Oryzias latipes: one gene and its partners. The protein of the gene in region 1 purifies or fractionates together with the protein of each later gene. This does not show direct contact. Links are inferred from orthologs where the notes say so. Each region holds a gene or a part of one and is shown in the gene's direction. Other genes may lie near its edges.

Region 1 (4,700 bases):
TTCAAGAAACGTAAATGAGCACTGCTGTTGTTGAATGTTAAGTGGATCTGCCTTTTGTTGTTGACAATCACCATCAAGTGGTCTTCTGTCCACGTTTTCTCTGATTATTTCATATTCCAAATACCGGTATATATAGCCTTTCCTTATTGCACATGTTTTTTGTTGCACGTATATAGATCATATGCGGAACTCTAAATCCTCAATATCTATACATGTTAAATGTCATATACTGTATATTTGTGAAAGTGCTTGTTCTTTGCTGCCACTTTCTTCCTCAGGTTAAGTACTTTTTTGGTGCTGCAGACTTTTTCCTCTTTGCAGGGAGTAACATTTCTGGTTTCTAATTAGAAAATCTTTTTGGCTAAGTGTTTACTCTTTCCCTGACTTGTGTCTTATTTTGCAAAACCAGCCTGCAAAGTTCACTTATCCTCAAAACAAAGAACACTTTGAATGTCAGGCTGGTGTTGTCTGGCCAAACTTGGTAAAGACATGCTTATACAATAATTGTGCCTTTTGCCTGCTGGGAGTCCCTATGCAAATTTCTTCACATTATTAAGCCATTTATCTCAGATGCTCCTTCCTTTGACCTATCTAAAGTCTCTCGATGCTGTTTTACTGTTTTTGAGAAGCTCATATTTGATTGTGAGCTTGAGATCTTTTTGCTTTACTTTTGTGTGTGTTTGTGTTCAGGCTGTCCAGAAATGGTATATAAAATAAATTTCTATGTCAAACGTTTTTCCTCTTTCTTTTTTTTTCATTCCCATTTGTTGAACTTCTAGTGAGGAGAGTGGCTGTTTTATCTTGAAGAATTTGTAGAAATGTTGACACTTTAATATGAGTAATGATATTCTTTCATTATAGTGTGTAAGGAGAGGAAGGGTCACTGCTGTAGCAATTTATCAAATTGGTCAATTTTAACCCACAAGAACACAGAATGAGATATTCAGTTCAGTTCAATTTTATTTGTATAGCCCAAATTTAACAACAACAGTCGTCTTGATGGGCTTCGTATCAGTAATTGAAAAAGTAAAACATAAAATCAAAAGGATCATGAATAGAATTCAATAGTGAAATACCAAATTGAACTAACTAAACTAAACTGGACATCCCTGCCTTTAGACCCTCCTTCACTAACTGATTAGACTGTTATTTAATAAAACAGACTTAATTTATTAATTTACTATTTTGTCCTTCAATAAAGATCAAATAAAGCCTTATCTAACTAAAGTATTGTGTTTCATGCTGATTATCAAAGTAAAGTCATTAATAAATTTTCAGTAGTTGTTGTACGAGGTCACAAACATTTAAAATTAAATAAAGAAGGGAATGTTTATAAGCAGGTGATAATGGATTTTTAAGTAGGAACCATTGATTGTGCTCCTTTTTGAAGGGGGAGGAGCACCAGTCTGCCACCGGATGTTGACAAACCAAAGGTTCCGTTTCTAGTAGCATCTACGTCTAGAAGTTTCCTGCCACTCTGAACGTACAGCCCGTCAGGTTACTGCATTCATGGCAGCTGAACGGTCAGTCCTCCTCCGTATATCCAATTGTATATCTGCTTTTTTATGTGTTATTTAGCTTGTTAACGCTTGGTCTCTGTCGGCTTTCTTTAGCAGCTTCCCTGATAGCTTCATTGATGAAGATCCACGCAAAGCCCTTGAGGTAAACGTTAGCATTGCTAGCAACACGTAACCTGTAGCCTGTGTTTTGGGGTGTTTGTGTATCAGATTAGAGACCATTTCATACTTTTGATTTATTCGTAACAGAACTGGTGGAGATGGGTCGGGCTTGTAACTCCTGACGTTACGTCTCAACGTTTAACGATATGTAGCTAGCAAGTTCAGCCACGTTACTGTATAAGTCTTATTTTGAAAATGAAAGTGTAAAAGACGCATTTATTGAATATTTTTTTCTATGTTATGGTCTTGTTTAAAACCATCACATATTTTATTTGTTATAATTAAACCGTTTTCATGTGTTAAAATAGTTTGTAACGTTATTAACTTGTTTTTTTCCCTTCTTTTTGTGTTACTGTCTGTGTATCAATTAACCTGTTATGTTGGTTAATTTATAATATACACTTGCAGCGACGCTATTTCTTCAACAACTTGTTTCCGTCGTGCAGAAATCAAGTATATTGACTTTACTTTCTTATGTATATTTTACTTTCAGGCTCTGAATGAGGCCTTACAGGGAGAGTCTGACAACGCTGAGTGGTTCTGTCAACGGGCCTATGCCCACATTCTTCTAAAGAACTACAGCTGTAAGTTAAAGTTGACATCATATTCCCAGTTTTTACCCCCAATGTCGCCAAAGGAACTAATTGATGTGTACCATGATTCTGAAGTCACACTGTTGAATCAAAATCTGGGTAGTTGATCTTTTAATGAGGACAAATTTGGGAAAAGCAATCACTGAACTACAAAAATTTCTATTCGCTGCAGGGAATTCAAACATGCCTGCTGTGGCATTTGGAATTTTCATTAAGGAAAACCATATTTCAATAAAAACAAATGTGTTTATGTATTTTCCTCGGACCAGGATCTTTGTGTAAATCTTATTGACTCGTAATGATTCACACTTTCAGGCACCAGATGCATTTTTCCATCTTTGATGTAATTCTGTTTCTTTGTTAAAATGCAGAGGAAGGCTCCTCTCCTTAATGTGGAATCTTAACGGCTTTACCGTCATCACTGTGAGCATTTTGAGAATACATCAGAGGATTGGCTCATGTTAGATGTTGAAAAGTTGAATGCAGGGGAACAGACTGAGGTGGTTTGGTCTTGTTCAGTATCCTTTTACCAAAATGGAGATACCTGGAAGGAAGTCCCAAGGGAGAATAAGGAGGAGGACATAGGGTGGTTGGTGTGAGCAAAGAGGATTAGAATGATGCAGAGGATTCACAGAGGCGACTCTTAAAGAGAGGAGCAGACAGACAAAAAGGAAAATAATATCTCCAAACATGTTTATGACCAAAATATGAGACTGCTTTAATTTAAGCTTTTCTTTTCACATTGTGCAGTTGAACAAATGAAACACCATGACCTTCTATATGGGCATAATTCTGCTTAAAGTGATGTTACTTGTTCTTCATGAAGCTATTGTTTGTATGACGTATTAGAGAAGAAAGATTGTAATATTCAAAATTTCCCCTACTTTAGAGTTCAAAAAAGCGTTATTGCCAGATAAATGCCTTTCCTTATTTATTTATTTATTTATTTATTAGTTTGTTACATTGTTTTCTCCAATGCTGCCCCTCTATGTCCTCCTCTGATCCCCCTGGAGTCAGTTTTTGCCAAGGTTTTTCCCATAGTGACCCTGTGGATGCCCACAAGACCTCCTTCTCTGACTGTTCTTGGCATTGATTTTGACCTCTATTCACTTTTTGTTCTGCAATCGAACAGCAGCTGAGTAGATCACATTTTGCCCCACCTGGCTGCAAACAGCACCACAAATGTTTTCACAAAGTTGATCAGTCAATGAATAAAGTTTAAATTGTAAATTTCATTCAAGAACTGCGAATACTTCAACTTATACTCTCCATGAATTTAGGGTTTCGATGTAGGAAAAAGGTTTTGTTGTTGTTTTTAGCTGGAAGTTTCCTGGCTACTGTTTATGGGTCTATAATTGTGCTTAATTGAAAATGATTATATTATCATTAGAAATGTGATAGCATGGGAGGCCTGCATGGTGGCCTAGTGGTCAGCACTCTGGCCTCACAGCACTAACCTGCTGGGTTCTTTCTGTGGGGAATTTGGATGTTCTGCAAGCACAATCATGGGGTTTCTCTGGGCGCTCTGGCTTCCTCCCACAGTCCAAGAACATGTTTCATAGGTTCATTGATTATTCTAAATTGTCTCTAGTTGTGCATGTGAGTGTGTGTGTGTGATTGTGTGGCCCAGCAACAGACTGGCGACCTGTTCAGGGTGTACCCCGCCTTCTCCCAACAATTGCTGGGTTAGGCTCCAGCAGCCCCGTGACAGCTAAAGGATTCAGTAGGTTCTGAAGGTGGATGGATGGAAGGAAATCATGGGAAATGGAAGAAAGCTGCGACAGAAAGTACTGGCTTTCCTTTGGTGCATCTTGTCAGTGTTAGTTGGGCTGCTTGGTTGCATTGACTCTTTTGAAACCTTAAGTTAAAGCAGATATTTTTGCTTCATTCCACAAAGCTGTTACCACTAAAGCTTTAAGTAAAACCTAAAATGATGGAAGTTTAGACAATGTAAGATTTTGGGGTATCCTATGACAGATAAAGTAGTAGCTCCAAACAGTTATTCGTTATTAATCATCCGTTAATATGAGTTGGTAATGAGGATGAATGAGTGTGAAGTCTTCCCAATACGTCTGCTTTTCTCCACAGGTGCTGTTGAGGATGCTAAGAAAGCCCAGCAGCTAAAGCCCAGTCATCCACTAGCCTTCATGCGAACAGGGTGTGTGATTTTTTTATTGTTGTTTTTTCTTCCAAATATTTACTCAAGCACAGATTATGCTAATATCTATTGTTGCTTTGATAATAGTAAGCAAACATATATTTTAGATGTTTTTTCAAATGTAAGTGAAGGCCTTCTTACAATATTTTAAACTGTTTTAAAAACAAATACAAAAACATTTTTCCATTTTTCGTTTGTTTATCAAATAATTTACGTAACTAAAGCTTTGAATTCTTGGTCATTTTCGTTTGATTTGAGTGGTGCATTAAT
Region 2 (4,844 bases), on another chromosome or scaffold:
ATACTTGGTGATGGTAGAGGCGTGGCGTCCAGTTTGCGCCTACAGTCCCTCTGACCATCACCGGGACATTCATTCACATTCACACACCAGTGGAGCCACACTGGAGGCAGGGAGGGTGAAGTGTCTTGCCCATTAAACTTTTATGTAAACTTTGATGACAGACTTTACGAAATGGTAAAAAATGAGAGCACATTTCCAATTAAAGAAAAAAATGTAATTCTAAATATTACCCATGAAAAGACAAAAATAGATATGTTTCAATTATATTAGCAGCCTAAACGAAATGGACTAACAGTCCATTTAGCAATAAGCTAAAACTGAACTGAACAGAAAAAAAAAACAGTGTAATGAAGGAGCCAACTTCCATACCAGTATCACCATCATTGATAAAACATCTTCACAGTTATCTTTTCAGTGTATATTTTTAAGTTTTAAGTGCAGAAAAAACCTATGTGTTGCATCTTTTTAAACTAAAGCTAATTTTAAAAAAGTATTAAGCATTGTCACTGAAACATTTTTTAACACTCACTAAATGTACAATGAAACTCTCTGGGGTTTTGTTAACAAGCTCACAGCACAGCCATGACAGTTGCAGATTATAGAGTGGTTTTTTTGTGTTCACCTGTAGCTGTAGGTCTTTCATCCAATGCCATTCATCCATCTTCTGAACCTGCTTAATACCTTTTGGAGTCACTGCGCTTCATTCAATGGTTAACTTCAAATTCAAAGTCCAAAGTCAGGTGCAGTCTTTTTCATTGTCTCTGGCTGGCTGTCAAATATCAGAGGGAACCAGAAAGGCAGCAAAATGAAGTTCTTGTGTTTCGTTCTCAGATGGCTCTGCTGAGTCTGCACGTGTCTGAGGTCATCTGCTCTGTTAGTTTTATGTTGATACAAACCACAGACATAACTTTAATTTATCTTTGCTTTTGAAAAATGAATGAAAAAAAAAAAATATTCTTTGACCATGTCATCTGGCCTTACATCTAAGTAAACAGAGTGAGGTTCCATTCTAATCTCACTTCAACGCAGGAATCCTTTTGGAAACATAAAAGACATAACATGAGAGAAGTTTAATGTTTCTATTTAAAAATGACAATGCAATGTAGATAAAAGACTAAACTAAAATGTCTGATAACTATCTGGAATGTTGTCAAGCTGTGGAACGATCATTTTAAAAAAACTATTTACTGTCAGTCAATGTTAGGTTTGGGTTGTGAAGAGCTGTAAGCTAGAAGGGGAGCATTTAAATCAAGAGTCTCCAACCTGAGGCTAAGGAGCCATGTGTGGCTCTTTGGTTTTAAAGAAAATGCTTGGACTTGAAAAAAAAATAGATTAACTAGTTGTTCGATGCAGTATGCATTTTATTTTGCTGTAGTTTATGGTAAAATTAATTCAAATTGGTATAGAAAGAAACATAGAACACGGTTATAATTTAATTATTGTATTAAAAGCAACACTTTATAAATAAAAGGTTTAATGACCACGGAAACCTTTTTAAATAAAAAAGACTATTTTCCCAAACGGTGAAGTTGGACTTTGCAGTTTTTTGGTCAGTAATGAGCTAGACTACATGGCTCTTTTAGCGTTAAAGGTGGCAGATGAGTCCCGCCAACAATTCAGAGGTGAATTTCTAATAAATTCCTGCTGCTCCGCAGTGTTCTAGAAAACAACAATGTTGAGGCTTTTTTGTGTGTTTGCTTGTTAATTTTGTTTATTTATTTATTTATTTGGGGGGGGGGGGGGTAATAACGGCATAATCATGATAAAAAGACCATTGGGAGCGCTTTATAGATCAAAAGATAATCGGGAGAGAGACTTGCAGGCCAGACAGGTAACTACATTTCCCAGAAAGCATTTCACCCTGTGACAGCCGACAGGCGCCTCTTGTGTGTCTGACAGTTAGAGTTAGCTAACGCTCGGTGAAAGCTAGCTAGCCCGGCAGGATGGGTGTATCAGATTTACACTTTGATACGAACGCTGGTGAGTTTCTTTATGGTTTTATAGCCAGGTGAACCCATTCAGTTTGTAATGTTTGTATCGTACGTGTGTTAAATCTAGTCGTTTAGCGCTCTTGACCGTTTTTAGCTCAGCAAACGTCCCGTGACTTTTCTTCATTGACTCTTTAAGTTGAAATATCTGGTGGTTGTTAGCTAGTTTGATCATCAAACTGGACATATTGGCAGACTTGTGTGGAACATCTGTACTGTAAACTAGTTTTCTTTTCAAACCTAACTCTAATTCTTTCCTCCTCACAATTGACTGTTATCTTAAAGATGTTGTGATGTCAGCAGCATCAGTTACAGTTGCAGTGGCTGAGTTGGCCAACGCAGGTTGTCAGTTAAAGCCTTGATCCATCATGAAGTGAACCTGGTGGCCATAGAATACATACACCCAACTTAAATGCACAAAAAAAACTATTAATTTAAAAAGTAGCTTTTAAAGATTTGCAATACAGTAATTGAATTTTACCAGTGTTCTGTTTTACTATTCATTCAATGTGAATTACTTTTACTTTTAACAGCAGCACTTAAATGTTCTTTTCAAAATAAAATACATACTGCGTCGAATAAGATTCTCCTGCTGCTTTAGGACATTCACTTTAATTAAAAATGTAAAAAAAAGGTCAAGTCAAACATGGGATTTTCTGACATCATGACTTTGATGCATAATCATCCTTTTACCGTCGAATATAAACATGACAACGTTGGTGTAGAATCCACTTTAAATTGCTATTATTTACATTAAAGTAGCTCTCCGATCATCTTTCGGTCACGTTTCAAAGCATTTCCAGTACTTTTAATTATGATTATGTCATTTTTAGGAAAAGTCAATAAACCTGTGTCATCTTCTAGGACATAGTTTCTGCAGAGCATCAGTAGATGTGGGCGGGACTGTTGGTGTGGAGTAAGCCCATTGCCACTTCCCATCACCCATCTGTTTACACCCTTTCCCGCTAGCTTACAGCCCCGCACAACCCCAACCCAAATTACTGGCGTAACAAAAATGGCAAGCAACATGGGAGCTATCCAGTCATATACTGTAGTTTTGATTCAAAGTCCAGCTCAGACGAGGAAAACAAAGACGTAGATGAATCTATTTGTCCACAAGTAGAGGTATCAGAATGGAGCGCAGCAGGAAGCCTGTAACTTGCCGTTGTAGGCTCCACGTCACAACACAAGTTTTTATAAAGAGCATTTATCATTTGCTCCTGATTCAAAATGATTTGAATGAAATATACTCAGAATTGCAATTTGAAGCTTAATTTCCTTCATAATTGTCCTGCCTCATCAGGAAAAAAAAACACCCAAAACACCATTTTTTCTTTGAAGTGGATCAACAAGGCTACAAATAGATCAGGTCAACACACAGGGAAACTCAGAGATTTCACATTCAGACAAGATTAAGAGAAGCTGTTTGGTGTCTTCATGTCCTTCAGGCTGGACCAATATAACAGTTCTGTCTGCTCTTTCAATAAAGACTATTAGAGATAGCATAGAGTCAGATCTGCTCAGGGCTCACAAACCCAACAAAGCTCTGGAACCAATCAGGTGGTAGGTAGACCTTTGAGTCAAAGGTGAAGCTACACACAGATTGAAGCAAGATGTCTGATGAACTTGAATGTTCTTCAACGATTTTTAGTTAAAGTGCTGCTTTCTTTCTGTTTCATTAATGGTACATTTGTGACATTTTTTTTTTTAATATAATGCCAACTCTTTGTTCTTTCTGTAAACCAGTGTGAAATGCTTTTATGTACGAAAAGAGAAATCCAAGTGTTTTGTCTTCTGACTCCTAAACCAGCAGGACCCGTGGTGGATCTGACAGGTCGGGGGGTGCAGAAGCTGGATCCCAGTTTCATCAGTTCTGACGACACTCACACTCTCATCTTGGACCGCAATAAAATCATGAAGCTGGATAATCTGGAACGAAGCCCCAGCCTTCAGCAGGTCACATTTTTGAGAGTGGTTCTAGTCTGATGACAGATGAACAAACACGTTCCCGCTCTGTGGTTTTGATGCAAACTCCTTGTTGTCACTAATTCAGCTATCCGTAGCAAACAACCGTCTGGTCAGAATGATGGGGGTGTCTCAGCTGATGCAGCTGAGGGTCCTCAATCTGCCCAACAACAGCATCGGCTACATTGAAGGACTGCGCGATCTGCCTCATCTGAAATGGCTAAACCTTTCCGGAAACAACATAAAGGTGAGGAGACGGGAGGGATTTCTACAAACCAGAAGAACCTCTCATCCAGAACAAAAATGGAAAAGAATTGAAGCATTCCTCAATTGGTTCAAATAAATCAGTGGTTTTCATTAAAACTTTTTAGTTGACTGCCACTCAAGGGGTCACAGTTTACGCAGACATTTTCAGTATTTATTGATGCTTACCAAAGTGTACAAGTGTACCAAAGTGCTTCATAATAAAAGAAACAGACAAAAAAAATGTTTAAAATCAGGCAAATCAAGGACAAATTTAAAAACAGCATAAACTTACAAAACGTTTTTAGCAATAAAATACATCAAAGATAAATAAGAATAAATAAAAGAAAAGAAAATGCCACCTGAGCATAAAAAAACATTCTAAAAAGGTAAGTTTTTAATTGACATTTGAAGCTATGGTCAGATAAAATACAGATTCAGCTACAACACGAGAGAAATCTCAATCTATTTAATAAACAAAGGACATTTTTTTCATTTTAGAGAATCATAGTAAATTTTTTGGGAAATAATTTCAAAGGCAAAGGTTTCTTTTATTTTGCTTCCTCCAGCCTTCATTACATCTGGGCTGGATTACTGGAATTCTCTTTATTTTGGAGTCAGCCAGTCGTCCGTCTCGCGTGTCCGGTA
Region 3 (4,966 bases), on another chromosome or scaffold:
AATGATGATTTGTTACAGAATTGTTAAATATGTAAAAGATCATTCACTGTTTTGGAAAAACCTACATCTGTCTTTCTGACATTAAAAGAAAAAAAAACAATTTAGTGACATTAAACCTGAATCTATTTTATAAAATGTTTGCTGCAGCCAATTGGTGTTGTCATTCAGTATTGTGGCTTAGGGTTGTTTGTGTTCAATAAAGTGCTATTGCTAAATATGTTTTCTGTCCTTTTTTTTCTTTTAGGCACTTTAATAACTCCAATGAAATAATAAGCAAAGCTTTAAAAAGTGAAAGTCATTGGTTATTTTTGTAGAAATGAACGTAGAACCCAAAGAATGCGTTTTGTTTCACACCAAAGACTAATATGTAACTAAAAATAAGCAACAAAAACCTTTAATATCTGCATCACTTAAGTTTTCAGATGCCACACTGCATTTGCTCATACTTTTAATATGTAATGCTATTTTTAATATTTTTTTTTTCATCATAAAAATCTACTGGTATGGAATAGCAGATGCCTCAAATGTACAAAAAAATTTAGTATTGCATACTTCACTTAGAACAAATGGTGAGATAATACAATGTATACATAAAAAAATGACAATTTCAAGCAGCCTTTAATGTGTTTTTTATTTTTTAACTCTTGTTCTGAGATGTAGGTACTCCCAGTTGCTGCTAACAACTGATTGACCTACTTTGGGTTGGCCTATGGAATAGGGCAACTACAGAGTGGTGTTTTACAAAACTAAATCCCAGTATTTGTTGAAGATAATTTCTTTTTCCATTTCCAAATTGAAGGCTAAGATTATTACTTTATAACAATAAATGTCAGAGATGGGCTAAAAAAGTCAATGTCCCAAGAAGACAGCCTAAGGACACCTTTTCTTCTCATTTGCACTATTTTTTTTTTTTTTTTTTTTTACAGATTTGCAGTTGATGTTTGCAGGGCAATAAGACCAGCAGTTGTCTTGGCAAACAGCTAATCACAATTAAGAAAAATATGAGATTCTGCAACCAGAGATAATTCTCCACAGGATTTAACCTGTAAAGATGGCCAAACCGCCGCTCACTGTAGATGGATGTTACTTTCTGAATTTGGAAGTGGGAAGAGTCGAATACCTTGCTGACAATTCTGCCTTCAAGTCAATCAAAGTGTTAAATTTAGGGAACAATTTTGGGTGTGATTTTTATTTTTTTATGCAGGAGTGACTAATGCAGCAACAATGTTGGACTTGCAACAAACGCTGGATGAAAAATGGGACGCCATTACACAGGAGTGTGTAACCAAACTGGGGACCGGTGGCGACTGAGGCTGTTGTAGCTGACTACTGAGGTTCCTGTTTATTAAATTAATTGTTTTCTGTCTTTTGACATTTCAATCATTCAAATCACCAGCAGCAGAATTTAGAAAAATGTTCATGGTCTGGAACCCACACTCTGTATTTACAATGGCTCACATGTTCCTTTCTGCTGTTTCCTTTGGGTAAAGAATCATGAAAAGTTTTGTTAAAGTTTACTATGTATGCAGGGCATAATGTTATTAACATGATAAAAAAAATATGTCAGAAAATGTTCCATTACTTCATGAAAAAGGCAGATGAACAAAGAAAGTACAGTAACTGACATTTCCAAGATAGAAAAAAGTTTAAAAACAAAAAGAAATATCTTCAATTATTTCTATCAAATTAAACTACACAAAACAAAATAAAAATAATATACTGTAAAAACTAAAATATTTCCTGGGAAAAAAGTTTTTATTGTGTGTCAAAATCCTTAGAATGTAATCGCTTTCTGGTTTTCTAAAAACATGCCTAAATACATCTGGGTGGTCATTTTAAAGTATAACTGTTTCTCTATATGGTTAAATAAAGGTTAAATTAACACATAAAAAACGTAATCGGTCCTCGACAGCACGAAGACTATGGAATAGACCAATTTACAAACAAGAATAGGGGACAGCGGCAAAAATCTATTCCGTTTTTCAATCTCATTTCGAACACATCTTTCATAACATATATAACAGGCTAAAGGAAAAGTGATCATTAAACCCCATTGGAATATTATCAACTGTTTGATTTGAAGAACAGAATGACATAGACCTTCAGAACCTGTGGTAGAGTCCTCCTCTTCCTGCCAACGTTCAAGTGTAGGATGTAGCAAGACGTGGCTAGCACATTGCTAGCGAAGGTACAACGTTTTTAAACATTTGTAAACCTGACAAGGACCTGTTTTGCTTCATGCCTAAGTAAGTATAGTAGTGAATTTTATTTTTCTCATAGTGTTTTTTATTAAAGTCGCTTTCATAAATATTTGTGCTATCTGAGATCCGTCGGGTTAGCTTGAGTGCTAACATTCATGAAAACCACTGTTTTGGTAGATGCTAACCCTATACCTATATTTGACATAAGTCAGTTCCTAATAACCCGTGACATGTGTTAATTTTTCTTTCTGAAGAAACACTAAATTTGTTATTTACTTTTATGTGTTTGTGTAAAATAGTTTAACATTATATATTAGTAAACTGTCAAAGGGAAAAGAGCTCCACGTAGCTAACACTAGCTTTAGCGGTACGCTAACTTTTGCTAAAGCTATCGTTTAATGATGCTAAAATCGAATTGTCAGGTGAATCTAACTCGAACCGAATTGGTGTCAGTATCCTATTTGGAAAGTACTCAGATATTGAAATCCAATCCTCAGATTTTAACCCAGTATAAATGTGGATGCCGATGAGATGCGGCTGAAAAATAACACAACTTCGGCTCAAGGGCACCGCTTTTTTATGCTGCGCATCAGCAGAACTGTTATCACGTAGGCTATTTTTTTTTGTCTCGAATAGTTTGTCTTTTCATATATGGTTAAATAAAGCTCTTAAACCCCTTATATTATCTGTTCTTGACACAGTAATTCTGGGAAAGAGTTGATTTTCTGGGGGTTCTTTTAAATCACAGCTATTTAAATATGTCAGCAAACATGGGAATTTATTTCAATGCTTTTTGTCCCAAAAAGCTAAATTAAACAAATAACAAACAACTTTACATCAAGTTTTTGATTAACATTGGTCTTTATTTATTTATTTGCCAGATTTTAGCATTAACGAGCAAATAGCTGTATAGGTATAGGTATAGTTTTACTTTCTTTAAAAAAAAAATATATATAGAGAGAGAGAGAGATAGATATATATATAGAGAGAGATATTTAAGAGGTACTAAGCATTTTTTTAACTAAAGTAACTCATGCAGAGAAATAATGTTTTCACCCTTTTCTCCTTTTTGCAAGTTTGGTAATTTTATTGTATGAATGGCATGGAAAAATATGAACACAATGCTTTTTAAGTAGTCCAAAACCACAAAGCTTCTTGTTGAAGATTTTTTTTCCCATGAAACTGTTGTGCTTTTCATTTTAGTAGCTCAGATGACTAACCTCAACAAGGGTGATGGACACATTTTTGCACAGATTTGGGCTCAAACAGTTTAATTACTTGCTGTTGTAATTTTCTTCAGCTTGCTGACTGATGTTTTCAGACTTCTTGTTCTTAGTTAAATCCCTGTGAGACCTTGACTAAAGCAGTTTTATGCGGTCACATGAAGTAGATGTTTTTTTTGTTGTACAAAATAAATCCATTTGTTTATGTTTTTAAACAATTGTGTAAAGGGTAAAATCTCAGTATGCCCTACTTTTATACATCCATTTCAGCACTTATTTTATGTAAATGAAGATATTACTAAATGATTTGAAAGTCTAAAGTCATTGAAATTACATATAATTAATCATTCCCATTTAAATGCTGAAATTTAAAGTGTAAAATTGTATTAATTGACATGTATTAATACAATTGTGTTGTTTCCTTCTTTGTGCATCACAACCGTTTGAAGTACTGACATTTTACTGTTTGTTTGTGTGCTACCTGTTGTTGATGCTCAGGAGGTTGTGGGTAGTGTACCATGGGGTACGATGTTACGAGGTTCCAGGGTGAGGTGGATGAAGACCTCCTCTGTCCTATTTGCAGTGGAGTGTTGGAAGAACCAGTGCAGGCAAGTTTACTTTTACAAGGAATTGGATATACAGTGATCCCTTGCTATAACGCGGTTTGCTTTTCACGGTTTCGCTACTTCACGGATTTGCATGGTGCATTGTGTTCTGCATTCTGATTGGCTAAAAAGTCACTCCGCTTCTTCTCTACCTGTGCGTCAATAACGTTGCAGTTTAATATGTGCACGTACGTAAATCAGCTTGCCAAATTTTCATTACTACGTGCAAATTCTCTTGATGGTGGCAAGTCGGTGTATAAGGATCTTTTTGCAAAGCAGAAAAAAGAGCGACAACAACTGCCTATCACTATGTTCTTCTCCCGAACAAACACAGCTGCACCGCGGGCTTCAAAAGAAGAAAACACTGCAGAGCTGAGTCAGGATGCAGCGGCTCAGTCTGAAGAGCAGTGAAATACACCTGAGTCACTATTTGTCCCACTGTACTTTGTATTTTTTTCATAATCATTTTAAATTTTCTCCCGTTTAATCCAATACTCGGGTCGCGGTGGGCGGGGCTAATCTCCGCGATTTGAAGCCTTCTGTTCACATTCATTAAAATTATTATTTGACAGTACAGTACAGAGTTATTTGTTGAAAAAAAGGTTTCTAAAGTACTTTTATTTGTGAAACAAATGCTTGAGCCTGTAAATTGGTTTGTTCTTTCTTTTCAATGTATAATAGAGTATTTAATTGTATAATAATAGTTTAAAAAAAATAAAGGTTTCTACTTCACGGATTTTGCCTATCACGGGGTCTTTTTGGAACGTAACCCCCGCGAAAAACAAGGGTTTACTGTATAGCAGTATTTTCTCATTTATATTTGTAGACATTAATGGTTTCATGAATGAATGCATCACAGCATTTTAAGTGAGTTCTGTATCTTCATTTCAGGCTCCACACTGTGAACATGCCTTCTGTAATGCCTGTATAACACAGT

Evidence for each region. Proteins that work in one complex are often made in the same cells at the same time.
Region 2: the proteins of sugt1 (region 1) and cep97 purify together in Homo sapiens (affinity purification with mass spectrometry; 3 studies listed by BioGRID and IntAct, with this or other methods). This does not show direct contact. The link is inferred for Oryzias latipes from reciprocal best matches to the Homo sapiens genes SUGT1 and CEP97.
Region 3: the proteins of sugt1 (region 1) and rnf41 purify together in Homo sapiens (affinity purification with mass spectrometry; 3 studies listed by BioGRID and IntAct, with this or other methods). This does not show direct contact. The link is inferred for Oryzias latipes from reciprocal best matches to the Homo sapiens genes SUGT1 and RNF41.

The regions. Positions count from the first base shown.
Region 1 is NC_019875.2:17,047,055-17,051,754, forward strand, and holds the start of sugt1 (protein SGT1 homolog), read left to right. Parts: upstream 1-1,391; 5' UTR 1,392-1,509; coding exon 1,510-1,523; intron 1,524-1,613; coding exon 1,614-1,662; intron 1,663-2,172; coding exon 2,173-2,263; intron 2,264-4,360; coding exon 4,361-4,430; intron 4,431-4,700. UniProt on the Homo sapiens protein: May play a role in ubiquitination and subsequent proteasomal degradation of target proteins.
Region 2 is NC_019879.2:10,883,520-10,888,363, reverse strand, and holds the start of cep97 (centrosomal protein of 97 kDa), read left to right. Parts: upstream 1-1,849; 5' UTR 1,850-1,943; coding exon 1,944-1,980; intron 1,981-3,798; coding exon 3,799-3,944; intron 3,945-4,041; coding exon 4,042-4,200; intron 4,201-4,844. UniProt on the Homo sapiens protein: Acts as a key negative regulator of ciliogenesis in collaboration with CCP110 by capping the mother centriole thereby preventing cilia formation. Required for recruitment of CCP110 to the centrosome.
Region 3 is NC_019865.2:22,245,324-22,250,289, reverse strand, and holds the start of rnf41 (E3 ubiquitin-protein ligase NRDP1), read left to right. Parts: upstream 1-1,971; 5' UTR 1,972-2,246; intron 2,247-3,922; 5' UTR 3,923-3,942; coding exon 3,943-4,032; intron 4,033-4,920; coding exon 4,921-4,966. UniProt on the Homo sapiens protein: Acts as E3 ubiquitin-protein ligase and regulates the degradation of target proteins. Polyubiquitinates MYD88. Negatively regulates MYD88-dependent production of pro-inflammatory cytokines.